Linked DNA regions of Coturnix japonica. The main gene of each other region encodes a partner of the protein of the gene in region 2 in a complex. Links are inferred from orthologs where the notes say so. Each region holds a gene or a part of one and is shown on either strand. Other genes may lie near its edges.

Evidence for each region.
Region 1: the proteins of RANGAP1 (region 2) and SENP2 are in contact, whole or in part, in a crystal structure (PDB 2IO3), measured with the Homo sapiens proteins. The link is inferred for Coturnix japonica from reciprocal best matches to the Homo sapiens genes RANGAP1 and SENP2. Residues at the interface, in NP_001265580.1 of Homo sapiens: Glu467, Asn508, Thr511, Thr514, Arg515, Val518, His519, Leu523, Lys524, Ser525, Glu526, Asp527, Val529; in NP_067640.2 of Homo sapiens: Tyr408, His409, Trp410, Val477, His478, Asp495, Met497, Gly498, Gln499, Lys500, Pro536, His537, Gln541, Gln542, Asn544, Gly545.
Region 3: the proteins of RANGAP1 (region 2) and RAN are in contact, whole or in part, in a cryo-EM structure (PDB 9B62), measured with the Homo sapiens proteins. The link is inferred for Coturnix japonica from reciprocal best matches to the Homo sapiens genes RANGAP1 and RAN. Residues at the interface, in NP_001265580.1 of Homo sapiens: Ser29, Gly58, Asn59, Thr60, Asp86, Thr89, Gly90, Arg91, Leu92, Arg93, Ile96, Asp121, Ala123, Phe124, Gly125, Asp127, Asn151, Cys152, Gly153, Met154, Gly155, Arg189, Asn190, Arg191, Gln217, Asn244, Asp245, Asn246, Thr247, Asp273; in NP_006316.1 of Homo sapiens: Asp18, Gly20, Tyr39, Val40, Ala41, Thr42, Leu43, Gly44, Val45, Glu46, Glu70, Lys71, Leu75, Arg76, Tyr79, Asp91, Thr93, Ser94, Arg95, Val96, Thr97, Asn100, Lys123, Asp128, Arg129, Lys130, Lys132, Lys134.

Annotation. Positions count from the first base shown.
Region 1 is NC_029524.1:3,365,571-3,371,065, forward strand, and holds the start of SENP2 (sentrin-specific protease 2), read right to left. Parts: upstream 3,509-5,495; 5' UTR 3,459-3,508; coding exon 3,364-3,458; intron 1,852-3,363; exon of another isoform or gene 1,561-1,851; coding exon of another isoform or gene 1,505-1,560; intron 105-1,504; coding exon 7-104; intron 1-6. UniProt on the Homo sapiens protein: Protease that catalyzes two essential functions in the SUMO pathway.
Region 2 is NC_029516.1:45,368,731-45,373,777, reverse strand, and holds part of RANGAP1 (ran GTPase-activating protein 1), read right to left. Parts: intron 3,543-5,047; coding exon 3,443-3,542; intron 3,062-3,442; coding exon 2,977-3,061; intron 2,579-2,976; coding exon 2,428-2,578; intron 1,947-2,427; coding exon 1,833-1,946; intron 1,517-1,832; coding exon 1,414-1,516; intron 1-1,413. UniProt on the Homo sapiens protein: GTPase activator for RAN. Converts cytoplasmic GTP-bound RAN to GDP-bound RAN, which is essential for RAN-mediated nuclear import and export. Mediates dissociation of cargo from nuclear export complexes containing XPO1, RAN and RANBP2 after nuclear export.
Region 3 is NC_029530.1:2,657,356-2,663,000, reverse strand, and holds the start of RAN (GTP-binding nuclear protein Ran), read left to right. Parts: upstream 1-2,137; 5' UTR 2,138-2,268; intron 2,269-3,055; 5' UTR 3,056-3,062; coding exon 3,063-3,098; intron 3,099-3,809; coding exon 3,810-3,894; intron 3,895-3,982; coding exon 3,983-4,108; intron 4,109-5,078; coding exon 5,079-5,266; intron 5,267-5,642; coding exon 5,643-5,645. Other genes in the region: STX2 (syntaxin-2), read right to left, coding at 1,801-1,896. UniProt on the Homo sapiens protein: GTPase involved in nucleocytoplasmic transport, participating both to the import and the export from the nucleus of proteins and RNAs. Switches between a cytoplasmic GDP- and a nuclear GTP-bound state by nucleotide exchange and GTP hydrolysis.

The sequences.
Region 1 (5,495 bases), on a different chromosome or scaffold from region 2:
CAGTACCTTCTCTTCTCCTTTTTGGTTGAGCCTCATCAGAATCATCAGAATCTTCTTGCCAAGGATCTTCTTGACGAGGATCTTCTTGCTGAGATTGCTGAGTACTGCAGGGAAGAAAAAAAAACACACAGATCGGCATTTGGGAGCTGCAGATGAGATTCTAAGAGACTCATTTCCCTGCACAGGACCCAAACTAATCCTCCTACCCCAGAGCTCTCCCCTCCAAGCACCTCTAGGATCAGCCCAGACAGAAACAGGTGGCAGCATCTCCCACTGATGTCTCCCATCCAGCAGAGCACGCACAGGAAAATTAATTCACCCACTAAAACCGCATTAGGCCCCTTTCTCCAACATTCAATATATACTTTCTGACTGTTACAAGCAACCAAAAACTCTTAATACATGGGCTTTGCCTCTTTCCTCAAGGAAAGAAATACGCCAATGATTACTAAGCCATGTGAGTTCACTACAATGAGCTGCAGAGGGGAAAAAAAAAGCCTAAGTAGGACAGGAAATATAAGATGGGAAAGCAACGTGTGTACACCCACATAAATAACTCACTGCTAAATCAGTGCTTGCAAACCACTCATTGCAATCACTCTCAACTGCACCCCTCCTTACTAAGTGGTAGCTGAAGTACTGCATCAGTTGGCACAAAGATAAAGTCTAGAAATCTATTTATTAACGTTGGGAATAGACAGCTTATTTCTATATGTTTTTTTTATTTTCCTATTTGTTTCCATAAATGTAATGTGATGTTTCTGTCCTGCCCCCCCTCCCTGCATAGCAGGGACCCTTTGGTCCTCTGTGATCAAACCGGATTCTAACTGATTCTAACTGATTCTAACTGTTACATATCCCAGCCCTGCTCATCTCCCCCCTCTGGACTGACATCCCTCCACATCAGGAAGACAAAAAAACAACTTCTTAACTCTACATTTAATGTAACACAGAGGATAAACAACTTAACTCTACATTTAATGTAACACAGAGGATAAACAACTTAACTCTACATTTGATGTAACACAGAGGATAAACAACTTCTTAACTCTACATTTAACGTAACACAGAGGAAAAACAACTTCTTAACTCTACATTTAATGTAACACAGAGGATAAACAACTTCTTAACTCTACATTTGATGTAACACAGATGACATTGGTCATTACGGCGCTATTAACATCAGGCAGAAAATACCAAGGAATAAATGATAAACACAAATAATACCCGAAAAGACACACTCCTACTCAACTTATTTAATATTTCAGCAGGCTAAATTAAGAAGAAAACAATAACAAATTTGTCTTCCCATCCATTTTTGTAGCACCAGCTACACCTTCAGTAGAAGGCTCCCAGCTTCAACCTCTGCCCGGACGCAGCCATACACACCCTCCCCAGGGCTGCACTCAGGGCTAAGAGCAGCTTAAACACCCGGCTATGTTACCACCAGCAGCTTTAAAAGACAAGTGCCTCCCTCCCCCAGCTCCAATACAGCACCCGGTACCTGTTACAATGTCGTTTTTTCCGTTTACACTTAGTCGGCTTGGGTTTTGGAGGCATAGCTGGATTAGCTTGCTGTCAACGACTCCGAAAAAGGCTAGAAAAACCTTCTATGTCTTCAATATTTCTCACTCCGGGTAGGAGTGAGAGGAAAAAAAGCTCAGCTACAAGTCTGTAGCTGGAAAGCGCAACTCACGAAGAGTCCGAGCACTGCCCCTGTAGCAGGGGCTCCTCTAAGGCTCCAGGTGAAGCAAAAGCCAAAGGTTGTTGAGCAGTAGGCGCAAAAAGGTGGAAAAGACGCTGCAGGAGGCAGATGTGCGTCTGCCCTGCACACCACGATGGGCCCAACTACCCCTCGAAACCGTGGCAACAGCCAAACATTCTATTCCCCCCCAACTGTAAAGGTGGGGGGGGGGGGGGGTGTGTAAGCAAGGTGTCACAAAACCCCACTATTTCTGCGTACACACACCCAGGTGTGGGCATCTCTCCTCATCCAAACCTCCTCCTGCAGCGCTGCTGTGGGCACTTTGTGATAGTTTACCATTTGAAGCTGTAAAAATTGGACATTTTACCCACTTTCCCCATTACTTTCACCGTTGAGATCCATATTTTTTCCTCTCTCTGTTGTGGGAGACAACCTTTCTGCCCAAGTAGCAGACATGACGTAAAAGGCAACTTCTGTGTAACTTCACTGCCACTTTACATTGGGAATGGGGTGTGCTCAGGACATCTCTGCACCCAAAACTTCAGCTGGCCACGCTGTCCCATTCACCTGCATTTTGACTGATAAACAGCACTCGTGGAGAACTGAGGCTGTGGATGCCCCATCCCTGCAGGCATTCAAGGCCAGGATGGATGTGGCTCTGTGCAGCCTGGTCTGCTGGTTGGTGACCCTGCACACAGCAGGGGGTTAAAACTAGATGATCACTGTGGTCCTCTTCAACCCAAGCCATTCTGTGATGATTTTCTTGTAGAGCCTCAGACAAGGAGCTGAGAACACCTTTGCCATTTTAGAGACAAGCAGCATTTCAGACCTTATTCCCAACAGCACGGCTCTTGAAGCCACTTCAGCAGTTCCACCCTATTTGCTCCCCTCATTTGCAGCCATCTCCCAGCAAAGCTGAGTGCCCAAAGTGTGGCAAGCAGCCCGTGCTGCTCTCCCTTTGGGAAGAGGGATGGGGCAGGGATGGCTCTGCTGCGTGCCATCAAAAGCATTGCCTTTCCTTTCACTTTGCACTGAGTTGTAGAAGCTGGGAGGCCCCTTTGGAATCATGCAGCCCAACCACCTGTTAAAGCAGGTTCCCTATGGTACAAAAGAGCTCAGGGTCTTGAGTATCTCCAAAGGAAACCACACCACCCACTCCACAGCTCCGACACCACCACAGGAGCTTTTTTTTCCCTTTCATTTTTGTATGAAACTGAAGTTTCATACTTCTCAGTTCACGTCTCTTGCTGTGTCACACACAGAGCCCTACACATGGGCTGGAATAGCCAAACATATCAGTGTAAACATGCTGGAAAGGAGCTGTTTAGAGAAGGACTTGAGTGGCCAGTAAGGCCTATGGGACCCCGTGTGCCCAGCGGGCTGAGGGAGGCCAGACAGACAGGGGAGCGCTGCATAGAGCCAAGGGAGGGCAGTTCAGGGCCCGGAGCATGTCCCTGATAGGGGCAGCCGATCCGCTGTGTCCGTGCAGCAGCGGGGTGCTGTGCTCGGTGCTTTAGGTACATGGCCGGGCTCCTGCCATCACCCAGCTGCCCAGGCCGCTCCCTCAGTGCCGATGGGCGGCACGCTCTGTGGGCCCCACATCCCGTGCCGGCTGCGGGCCGGGCGCAGCGCGGAGGGACACGCGGCGGAGCGCTGACCTGAGGAACGGCCGTTTGCGCGGGGCCGGGGGTGGCGCGGAGCGGCGCGCGGCGGCGAAGAGACTGCCGACAGCCGCCAGCAGCCATTGGTACATAGGGGGACATGGGCGGCCAACGGACCGGCCGGCGCCGCCGGAACTGCGTCTGTCTCGCGCGACGGCGCGCAGGCGCAGACTCGCGGCAAGAGGTGCGCGTGCACGTGTCTCGCTCCCGGCGGCGGCGGCGCGCACGTAGCCCCCGCGCGCGCTCCCGGTTGGACGAAGAGGCCGCTATTGGGGGTGCGCATGCGCGTTGTGTGGCTGCTGTGAGGCCTGTTGTGTGCTCGGCCTGTGGTGGTGCTCCAGATTAGCCCAGTTTGAGGTTAACACAAGTGTTACCTAATGCTCAGCCTGCTCACGGGGCTGCTGGGTTTATTTAGAGCTTTGTGCCGGGTAATGTGTGCAGAATCAGCTCTCTTGCCCCTCTAGTGCAGGGAGGCTGTGCTTGGTCTCTAACATGAGCTGGTTAGAGGCTCAGCCCAAGGGCTGCTGCATTTGGGTGTTCTGGGGTGTGGTGTTGAGGAATATGATTTAGCCGGGAAGTATTGCAGCCTTTCAATACCTGAAGGGAACTTACTGCCAGGAGGGGAGTCAACTCTTGGAAAGGGCTGACAATAGCAGGACACGGGGAAATGGCTTTAAGTTAAAAGAGGGAAGATTTAGGTTGGATGTTATGGGGAAGTTCTTCACTAGGAGAGTGGTTAGGCCCTGGAACAGGCTGCCCAGGGAGGTTGTGGATGCCCCGTCCTTGGAGGTGTTCAAGACCAGGTTGGACGGGGCCCTGGGCAACCTGATCTAGTAAAGGTGTATGTTTGGTGGCCCTGCCAGGCAGGGGGGTTGGAACTACATGATCCTTGAGGTCCCTTCCAACCCGGGACATTCTGTGATTCTGTGATTCTATTGGGAATGGTTGGACTATATGATCTTCTAGGTCTTTTCCAACCTTGACAATTCTGTGATTCTGTGATTGCTGCCTGCTTACTATAAACCATCTGTTCCCACAGCATCCAGTGCTTGTTCAGGGGTCGGTATATTGCAAGCCAGGAAGCTGTGGAGCAAACTGACTCAATTCAAGAGCCCAGAGCAGAGCTGGCATTTCATGGGCTGTGTTTGTCACAGGAGGTCCTGCTGGTTTCCTGTGCCTGCAGGGTGTTGTGTTTTAATGAAGCGACCTTCCTCATTTCTTAACTGCTCCTTGTCTGTTTCAGTTGGCCAGAAGAGATGGCAGTGACCTCAGACCAAGCTGGATGTGGCAGCCAAGCTGTGAGGACACAGGCAGGTGTGTAAGCAGAGCGGTGAGGGCATGTATGGGAAGGGTGGTCTGACAGGCAGACCGGCCCGGCAGAGGGCACGGCAGCACTGTGCACAGCCTGCAGCTGAGAAATGCTGCTGTGGTTGCTTTCCCTTCCTCCCAGTGCTCAAGGTTTAGCCACATTCTGCAGCAAAGAGCTGGAGGGGGCGCAGGGAGTTTGTTTGCATTCCTGTGTTGGAAAAACTCTTTTGTCAGCTTAGTCCTGCAGAGCCAGGACTCGTCTGCAATGCTCCTGCTGGTTCTGTGTGCTGTCAGATCTGCAGGTAGAAGTTGCCTCTCTTGCACTGAGGCCAAGAGATAATGTGCTGTGAACTAGGAATTGTGAGACAGTGGGGTCTGTGTGACTGTGGGACTCATCCAGCCTCCAAATAAACCTGCACAGATCTGTGTCACATATAGTTGAGACTGTCCTGAGCCATAGAGTGCAGTCCCTACCCTCACCAGGACTAGGCAGGCCGTTATTCTGTGTGTTTGATTGAAGCAGGTGCCCTCTTGCAGAGTTTAATACAAGGGAAAGATGATAATAATAGACATACCTGCAGGAGGTTATATATCGTAACACATCCATTGTCTTTGCAGGTCAGTTTTACAACAGTTGCATTTCTCAATCCCTGTAATTTAATCTGATGGTTAACTTCATGACTTAGTTCTTTACTATGCCTCTGAGCTTATTCCTCAGTACACTGATGTGTAGTGACTCAAAATGATGGCATTTGGTGCACGTAGATCCAGAATCCTGTTAGTGGGCATTGAAATACACAGGGCTTACCTGTGTCCCATCC
Region 2 (5,047 bases):
ATTTTGATGTAATCTGCCGGTCTGTTTCCCCAGGAATTAGGTAGAATCTCTGAAACCACACCAGAGATGATCCTGTCCTTAAGTATAAGGCCTGATACCAGGGTTTAAGTGGAACAGAAAATAACACAAAATCCCATGGTCAAGTTTCAAATGCGGCTTCATCTCCATTCTATGCACCATGAGATGTTCTACTCAATGCATTTGAGCTTGCAAGCACTTGTGCGTATACACATAAAAACATCATTAGTTGAAGTAGAACAGCAAGACTTAAAGGCTTGAAATGTAAAGGCCAGCAAGATTTCACCTTTCTTTTGAAGCCAAGTCCTCACTCTTTTCTCATTCCTTTGTTCAGTTGTTCCCCATGCTTCCTTGGGATCAATATCTTGCAGCTAGCTGTGGGCAAACCAGTGCTTTATCCCTTCTTGTCTACAAGGTAGAGAAGGCACCATCTTGACTTCTGACTGTTCTAGTTTCTTGGAGTGAACAACCCACTACAATGGCTGTAGAGCAGTGTGGATCCTTAACTAGGGACTTCATCAACTCCTAGTTACTCTTCTAGAAGGAAAGCAATTACTAGGTACTACTTTTCCCTACAGAGCAAGGGTAGTAAGGAAGAGCTAACAAAGCAATACATGCACAAGCGCGCTTAAGGAAACACATACATCCTGCTCTCCATTTTTTGTGGTGAGTAGGACTAGGGAAGTCATCTGGTGCCTGTACTCAGCATTGATGAGGCCTTACCTTGAGGTACTGTGTTCAGTTTTGGGCACCTCAGTACAAAAAAAGGACATTGAGATGCTGGAGCAGGTCCAAAGAAGGGCAACAAGGCTTGTGAAAGGTTTGGAGAATGTGCTAAATGAGGAGAGGCTGAGGGAACTGGGGCTGTTTAGTCTGGGGAAAAAGACACTGAGGGGAGACCTTATTGCTCTCTTCCAATATCTGAAAGGTACTTAAAGTGAGAGCAGGGCAAATCTCTTCTTATTGGTGACAGGATGAGGGGAAATGGCCTCAGGTTGCACCAGGGTAAGTTTAGATTGAATATCAGGAAAAACTTCTTTATAGAAAGGGTTGTTAAGCACTGGAATGGGAGGTGGTTGTCACCATCCTTGGATGTGTTTAAAAACTGTTTGGGTGTGGTGCTCAGGGACATGATTTAGTGGAGGGCTGTTAGATAGGGTAGTATGGTTAGGTCATGGATGGACTCGATGATTATTAAGGTCTTTCCCGACCTGAGTGATTCTATGATTTAGAACAAGCCTTTACTTCAACTCCACACGACAGCATGGCACAGCCTGGTACTTTGTAATCTGGGGTTTCTTGCTACCAGAGTCAACCAATCAAATACCCAGCCTACAGAGGCCTTCCTTTGCTTTGCATTGCATTGCACCCTTAGGTGAAGAAAGGTCCAGTCACCTGTTGTTTCATGCACTGCTGTTTTTACTGGGGCTTCATCTTTGAAGACTGAAGATATCCTTAAGAGAGCTGTAACTACTTTCTCTACATCAGATGTATCTGTCTGAAAGGCAAGGAAAAAAAAAGTTAAGTGGTAGCCAAATAAAGAAGATGGATCTCTGCCAAGGCAAGAAATACAGCCTCCAGCTGACTGACATCAGTTTTGCCTTGGTCACATTACAAGACATAAGAAACAACGTTATTCTGTGTAAAACATCTAGGGTGCCAGTTTAAGTATTAAATGCACCATCTGCTTCTATGAGGTTACTCAGAGTCACCAGGAAGAAGAAGCAAGTCTAGGACTGGAGAGAAAGCTACCACTTCTGGGGATTAATGATCCTGAGAGAGATTCAAGTGCAGCAAACCACTGGTTCACCTACCTGCTGAGCTATCAGCACAGAACACTTTGGCCCTAGCCGCAGCAGCTTCTCTGGTGATGGGAAAGCAAGGAATGTGGCAACATCCACAGGAGGAGATGGCGCTGGAGTTGAATCCTGAAACAGGCAGAATCCACCTCAAGTTTACTCTTAAAAACAAATAAATTGGTACAGCAAAGGCATATAGGTCTGACTTGCAAAGGCACATCAGGTGAGAATTTGTTCTACTTGTAAACTGTTTAAGGCTGGAATGAGGCTGGAGTTAAAACAGACACAATAGCTAGCGTGACTGCATGGCAGTGCACATGCAAGGTTCTTACCATACTCCAAAGATGGGAAGACTTTTTCTACCCATGTCTATCACAATGGCTGTTCAGCTTTTACCACTATACATGTGTGCACATGCACCCTTTAACAAAGCAGGTTGCCAAGTCACCCATTTTCTTTATCTTCCGCACGCTGTCTTCCTGCCCATTACCAAAGAGCCAATCCACGCAGGAATGTGAACTCCTGCCAGCACTGCAAACTCACTCTAAATCTTGTTTCCTCCTTAGCTCTTCTCCAGTAAGGAAACAAATGCATCCAGAACTAAACTTACCTGTGCACCAATTATCTTAGCAGTCATTGAGTCCTGTTCTCCCTGTCCTCTTTCCTTCAGCTGTTCCTCTTCCTCCTCCTCTTCTTCTTCCTCTTCTTCTTCCTCCTCCTCCTCCTCCTCCTCTTCTTCTTCCTCTTCCCCTTCATCATCACTGAAGTTGGACAGTTCACATATTACATTAATTACATACTTGCCACTCCAATATACTGTTATTCAATTTTTCCAAGAACAAAAAAGCAGCCTCTCAAGACTTAGTGTTAGAAATACACCTTCATCTACAGAACACTATGAGACCCCTTGAGACTTCAGTCATCCAGTTGACAGTGGTAAGCAAAGAGCCTGGAACATAGTCAGTAACTGAAGCCAAGTTAATTCCATCAACAAAAATGAGGTACAAGGCTTATTCTGCTTACAGAATCCCTTCACAGCACTCCACAGCACACTCAGACCAACATCCAGCTGCAGCGTTACAGTTCTTACATTAAACAAAGTAAGCGTTGATAAAAATTGGTAGAAAACTTCTCATTTAAATTGTGGTGCCCTGCCTACCTCAACGATCCCAGCACAGTTGCCATATTGAAGCCTTCAAGAATCTCCTGCAGTTGCTCACATCCCTCTTCTCCCAGGCAGTTACCTGGATTCAGGGGAGAAGGGAACACATTTAGAAGATGCACACAAGCTTGTTCTTGGGAACACTGTTATAGATTTTTATCTATATCTGTACAAATTAAAAAATAACATCAGTAATTTCTACATCAAGCCTTGGAGGCAGCGATGCAGAATCAAACAGCTGTTTAAGCTGAAGCTACTGACTCTAACAACTGGCTGAGTCCACGGTTTAAGACTGCTTTCAGAATCTAACCACTTCCTGTCCCAGCATCACCCAAATTCAGCTACTCCCCCATAACCATTTCCTAAATGCTAGAAATTGTAATCCTAGCACAGGTGATACTGTAACCACTCTTCCTAGCAGTTTCTAGCTGGGATCAGACTTTTACCTACCAAGTTTACTTACCATTGAGATCCAGTTTCTCCAGCTCTACCTTATCTTCAATAGCTTCAGCTACAGACAGGGCAGCATCTCGTTTGATCTCACAGAAGGACAAATTCAGTTCCTAAGAAGCAAAAAACCCTTTGTTTACATAATTCCCATAATGTCCATCATCCCCACAAACTTCACACGCTCACTAACTTTCTGGAAAGATTCTCATTTGAAAAGGTTCTTCACAAAAACAGATTTTTAATTGGTAAAGTGACATCTCTCTATCTCACTTAAAAATATTTTGAAACATACCATCATTAAAAGCAACCACTTAAGTGAAACAGCCACAAAGACCACATTATTATGACTGCTCACTTAAAAGGTAGCATCTGTTTCAGCCCTTAACAATCAGCTTCACCTACTCAAGAGGCATCCCTTAAAGAATCAACAGGAGGAATTCTGGAACCACTTCAAGGCAGAAAGGAGCATTAGCTCCTTAATTTCCTCTCATCTTGTCACATTGCCCTGGGATTCAGCAGCACGTCCAGCCTGCTGGGGTAGCAGGGACAGTCCTTTTGTGTCACCTTCTTCCAAAAACTGAAGATTTTAGTTTCTAAGCAGACTGTACACCAGCAGAGCCCAGCTGCCAGTCACATGACCAGGTCAGAACTCGCACACCAAATCTTACTGAGGAAGGGTAGCTGCTATAGTGAATGGAATGCACATTTGCCTTTTAATATTTACACTTCAAGTTAAAGCCTTCTAAAGGCAAACTATACCATCCCCCACCATTTCACATCACGTTCTGCCAATCCTGTCACTGAGATTTAATATTAACAACAGAAGGGAAGTCATTCTTGAACACAATGAATCAGCTACTATTGCTTCATACTACTCTCCCTTAACCATTTCTGCTCCGGAAGAGAAAAGGGTTTAATTTCCAACTGCTAGCACAGATAGTCCCATTAGAATTCTTACTTCAGTTTATCTGGGAAACTCAGGAATAAATTCTGGTGGAAGCAGTAGAAGTTTGAACAATGGATCTCACAACAAGTGAGACAAATTCTGTACCAGATGCATACACACAGATAAACATTAGCACTCTGCTGGATTTCTGGCTTTGTCTATAAGCTTCCAAGAATAGAAATGGTGTTCAGCATCTATCCCAGTGCAGCTGTGACCCTGGACAGGTGTTTCTAGAGATTCTAGTTTACTTATTTTACTGATTTGACAATATTTCAGACAGGTCTAAGTCCAATGCCAGTGAAGTTTAAATATTGATACAGGAAGTGATGGGACTGCCAAGAAAAAAAAACTACTTGATCCCTTGATACATCCCCAAAACAAGAAAAGACAACAACTGTATGAATGCTGAAATGATGCAGAGGTGACAAGATACTTGGGAAGAGGGATATCTCAGTCTGCTCTCATGACTCTCAGAGGTTCTAAAAGCAGATACTTTCATTATCAGACTTTCTGAAGAGCAATCGCTAAGCTGAACCAGCTGCTTAAAAAACATGAAGCGGAGCCTAATCACATTACTGGTACACCTTCACACAGAATAGCCCCCTGTGGATGTGGCGACGTCACTAATCTACAACTCACTTTCAGTTACAGGCATATAGCTATTGAGGTGAA
Region 3 (5,645 bases), on a different chromosome or scaffold from region 2:
TGTAAATCTTTATGGTTGCCTGTCCCAAGTAACTCATTACCTTTGTTAAACAAGTAACCTTTAACTCGTAAAAAACACTACTTAAAGCAATTTTAAGTTGTTTGGTTTATATGGTCTGGACAAAAAGGAGACTCTGAGTTATCTCCTTGCTCCCTATAATTGACCTGCAATAGTTTCTTCAGACCACATCAGTGTTTCAAGAGATTCTTTCAGAGCATCAAGATCGCTGCTTTTCTGACAGCCAAGGAGATGTACCAGACAGCTGGCAGGTCCAGCACCACATTAGCACCTAAAGAAGGCTTAATTTTCCCTAGTTGGAAAGCAGAGGACCTGCAGGCAATAGTAACTGCATACCTGTAACAGTTTCTTTCTCCAGCAAGTACTTTAACAGTGTTTAAGCACCAAACACAGTGTATCAATGAGAACATCAAAAAGCTACAATGTTATACCTTGACAAACCAGGAGCACTAGGACAGTGGTTAGGGCCTGGAACAGGCTGCCCAGGGAGGTTGTGGATGCCCCGTCCTTGGAGGTGTTCAAGGCCAGGTTGGACGGGGCCATGGGCAACCTGATCTATGGGGTCTCTATGGGGATCTATGGGGTCTCTATGGGGATCTATGGGGTCTCTATGGGGGTCTATGGGGTCTCTATGGGGATCTATGGGGTCTCCTGGGCAACCTGATGTAGTAAATGTGTATGTTTGGTGGCCCTGCCAGGCAGAGGGGTTGGAACTACATGATCCTTGAGGTCCCTTCCAACCCGGCTCATTCTGTGAGCACTGACAAGTAACATTTTTCCCTCTTGGTATAGAGGACTCACAGAAGCCATGACTATTTCTAACAGCACACAAACTCCAGTTTCTATTTCCTCCGAAACGAATAGCACACAACCAAAAAAGGAGACTACATGCAACATACACCATTGCTATTTATTCCCAGATTAGGAAAATTAAAAAAAAAAACCATGCGGGAAATCTTCCATTTCAACCATACCACATCCTATGGATGAGAAGCATCAGCTCAGCTCCTTTTCTTTCTCAGAACACCGTTTCCAGAAAGCGAATGAAGGGGAAGGAAGGGAACGGATAAACACGCCACTCCTGTGGTGGTGCCGCCTCAGCTGCCCGGGCCTCGCGCCCCTCCCCGACCGTTACAACCATAGCGGCCCCACAGCTCTCACCTCAGCCAGGTCAGCCAGCCGGTCCTTCATCCCCTCAGCTCCTCAGCTCCGCTCGTTCCTCACACAGCCCCGTTCCAACGACCGCCGTATCCGCCGCCGCCCCGCTCAGGCCGGGCCCAGCGCTCGGCCCCCCCCCCCACACACACACGACGTCACGACGAACCGGAGCCCGCACCGCAGTGCGCATGCGCCAACCGAGCCCCGGGGTGACACCGGGAAGCGCGCCTTGGATCTGCTGACGTCACCATGCTGGGCGGGAAGGGAGCTGCGCATGCGCGGGGCTGCGGCGGGAGGAGAATGGGCGGGAAAGGGCGCGGGAGCGCGGGGAGTCCAATAGAGACATGGGGTGGTACCGGTGTGGTTCAGATGTGGTCCCAGTGTGGATCAGGTTGCCCAGGAGACCCCATAGAGACCCCATAGAGACCCCATAGATCCCCATAGACCCCATAGAGACCCCATAGACCCCATAGAGACCCATAGAGACCCCATAGACCCTATAGAGACCCCATAGAGACCCCATAGATCAGGTTGCCCATGGCCCCGTCCAACCTGGCCTTGAACATCTCCAAGGACGGGGCATCCACAACCTCCCTGGGCAGCCTGTTCCAGGGCCTGACCTACCTTTAGTACCATCCCTTGTGGTCTATGAGATAAGCAAACTACAGCACAGTGCCGTGCCTCCTCTGCGTTTTCTTTCTGTATTTCCACTAAATGCATCTTTGCTCTTTGGAAGAGCTTATCAACAACTTTTTTTTCCACTATAACCTGAATGTGAGCGCTTAGGGAAGCGCTATGATGCAGCGTGGAGCCACATAGGGCTATGTCCTATATCTCTATGTCCTTTAGCAGGAGCATTGTGCCCCACTAAAGAGACATAGACACGAGGTGCCGGATCAGAACCAACACAGACACGGGCAGAACCGAACCGGGCCCAGCCCAAGTCCCAGCTCCGCCCGCTCACGTGACCCCAGCCCCTCCCCCTCCCCGCTGCCGCGCGGCGTCGCTGTCCGGGTATTTGAACCGCGCTTCCGCCATCTTCCCAGCGCCCAGTCACGGCACGGAGCGACGCGGTTAGAAGCCCCGGGAGAGGTAATAGGGATGGGATGGGGTTGGGATGGGGTTCTGTTCCCTTTAGGGCCGGGTTATGGGGATGTGAGGCTGCTGTGAGGTGGGTGGACGGTGTTATAACCGCCGGGTTGGGTTGTGTTGAGGCCGGGCCCGCGTGAGCGCCGTGCCTGCGTGGCGGCCTGTCCTTGTGGCCCTTATTGGAGCCGTGTGGGGTGAGAGCGGAGCCCGGCTCATCGCTGAGGTAACAGCGGGCGGTGTGTGGGATGGGAATCATGGCAGCGGGGCCTCCAACGGTCCGGGCGGCTGTTGGGGGGGGGGGGGAGGGGAGGCGGCGCTGCTCAGTCATGGTGGGATGGGGATGGGGGCTGCGACCGGCCCGCACCACCCGATGAGGTGTTTGGAACGGGATGTGCTGCTGTGTTTCATATATAAAGGCCGGAGCCGCCTTTTTAATAGTCAGGCCGCGGCTCGGCCCCGTTTATCGTAGCGTGGAAGCCCCAGGGGCGCGGTGGTGGCGGCGGCGGCTCTTCCGTTACGGGCCCCGGGGGTGGGCGGGGAGCTGCCGCCGCCATTACCGCGCGCTGCCGCCTCGTATGGGGCGGTGATGGCGAACCGGGACCAGGGCCGGGTGGGGAGCATCGGCCCGGGCCGAACTTGGGGCCTTTGCAGCGGCTGCCGATGGTTGAAACGCGGAGCACGCGGCCCGGGAGGCGGTTTGGAAGCCGAGAAGCTCGGCCGGCCCCTTCCGGCGGGGCCTTGAAGCAGCTCGGCTCATTGAGCTCACACATGCTTCCATTTCCCCCTGCAGACCCAGCATGGCCGCCCAAGGAGAGCCCCAAGTGCAGTTTAAGGTAAAGGATCCTTTCTATTTTTCCTCTCCTTCCATAGAAAAGTAGCAAGAAGAACTTCCAAGAAGTGCCGTGGATGGTGGATTTGGTTTTAAAGTGCTGACTTCATCGATGTGTTGAGCTGATCACGTACTGCATTGCCTCACAACAGCATTCTATTGTCCTATCAATCTGGTGCTATTTGCTGCTTTACCAAAAAAATAACTTCACATAAAAACACCACTTAAAACGTGGTGACTTCATGGAGTGATATTCACAGCAACGAACAAAGAGTGCTAAAAGTGACTTAGAGCAACTTGTTTTATGCCACATCAACTACTGGGGTGGAACATAATGGAGCAGAGCTGTTACCTTAACAGCCAGAAGTCTTATGGCTGCTGCATTGATTGATGCTTGTTTTTTTTACACTGTTCATCTAATATATCCCAATTGTTAGTAACACAGGTTTTCTTTTTTTCCAATTGCAAGATTACAGTTCTTTTCTCCAGCAATTCAGATGCTTGTATTTTATTATAACACATCTTTAGCACAATGTGTTCTAGTTCTCAGTTACAGGGACTAGTTAAGTTTGGACAGGACTTATAGAATGACTCGTTTAACAAATTAAAACCCAACATAGAAAGTTACTTCATTGGGAATTTTAGTGTTTTCTTCACGGTATTTTGTAAGACAAACTATGTCGCTCTGACCTTCTTTACTTAAATGTATTAACAGCTTGTCCTGGTCGGTGATGGTGGCACCGGTAAAACAACATTTGTAAAACGTCATTTGACTGGTGAATTTGAGAAGAAATATGTAGGTATGTCTGAAGAAATACTCAAGATCTTGTGTGTTACTATCGAAAGTATAATTGACAACTTGCTGACTGTTCTTTCCTATTACTGTAGCAACATTGGGTGTTGAAGTTCATCCTCTGGTATTCCATACTAATAGAGGCCCTATTAAATTTAATGTATGGGACACAGCTGGCCAGGAGAAATTTGGTGGTCTGCGAGATGGCTATTACATCCAAGGTAAGATGTGCTCATATGTAGTTATGTCCTGTGTTCTGTTCAGTTTGGCCACTCTGAGAGCTTTTAACATGGCTTACACTGGTGAGCTCCCTTATGAGTGTTGGAACTTTGTATAAATATAGTCAGATCTGTTTCCGTACTAAAACTTAGTTTCAGTCTGTGAAACCCATTGCTGTGGGCTTTGATTTTACTGAAGAGTAACTGTGCACCTTCAGTGATAGTACTCATGAAATTAAGTGGTTAAGAGGTAAGTATGCGTAAGTGAGTAAAAATTACCTGTATTGGTATCCTGTGCTGCTGCAAAGACTTGGAAGAAACATACTATAAAACATAAAATAGTATAAAGAAGTTCTACATGTCCTTGGCTGAGGCTAATGGCCTTTCTAAAGGTGTAGTAATAGAGCTTGACCTTGAAGATAAGGGACTGTTCTGTGAGTACTTCAGTCACCCATGTACCTTTTAACATTCTGCAAGACAGGTTTAGAGCCTGACTTTTCCTTTAGAAGTATCAGAATCAAGTGTTCTTTGGCAAGCTGTTCTGGACAGGGGCATTCTGAGATGTGAACTACAAGCTCTCCACTTATCTGAAAGCCTCAATAGGCTGAGATTAGTTCAGTAGCATTAAGACATTTTTCTCAGGTATTAAGGTGAACTAAAATTCTTTTGTAATCATTGTGTAGTCTGTGCCATGCAACATTAGAATTGTCGCATGATGCTGCATGAATAGAAGCAGCTGGCATTTAGAGTTAAGCACCAAACATATGACAGGGTCATGGGCTGAGTTCTGTGGACTCCTGCACAGTGATTATCTTGCACTTTGATCTGGTAAATGGCATGTTCTCAACTGTGAGACTGAAGAGAAACCTAATGCTGGCACCCCTAATAACTGATTATTGTGGGTACTCTTTCCCACTCCAGTTTATAAGAAAGTGGTTACCTGCCTGATGTAATTGTTTGGTTTTTTTTACAGCTCAATGTGCCATTATAATGTTTGATGTAACATCAAGAGTTACTTACAAGAATGTACCCAACTGGCATAGAGACCTGGTACGGGTATGTGAAAACATCCCTATAGTGTTGTGTGGCAACAAAGTGGATATTAAGGACAGAAAAGTCAAGGCAAAATCCATTGTCTTCCACAGGAAGAAGAATCTTCAGGTATGATGGCGTGAGTTCACAGGATTAGAGATACATTAAGTCTGTTAACTACATTTGAGTGCTATTCAGTCCTTCAGTGTTGGGAATAAGATGAAATTAGACCAAGTCACAGGAAAAAGAGGCACTATTGCATCCTGAAATCACCTTTGAGCAAATCACCTTTAAGCACCTTATGTTTAAGAGTATCAATTTCTGCCTATTGGCCTGAAACTCTGCATTTCTAATGTCTCATATCTCAGGTGCTTCTGAGGGCATTGACAGAAGTCATGCAGTTAAAAAGAATACTAAAGCACACCTGAGCTGATTGTGTGCAAGTTATTATATTGTAGGTATCGGTGGCAGACTCTTATTGAATATTCTATTTTTTTTTTCCTAGTAT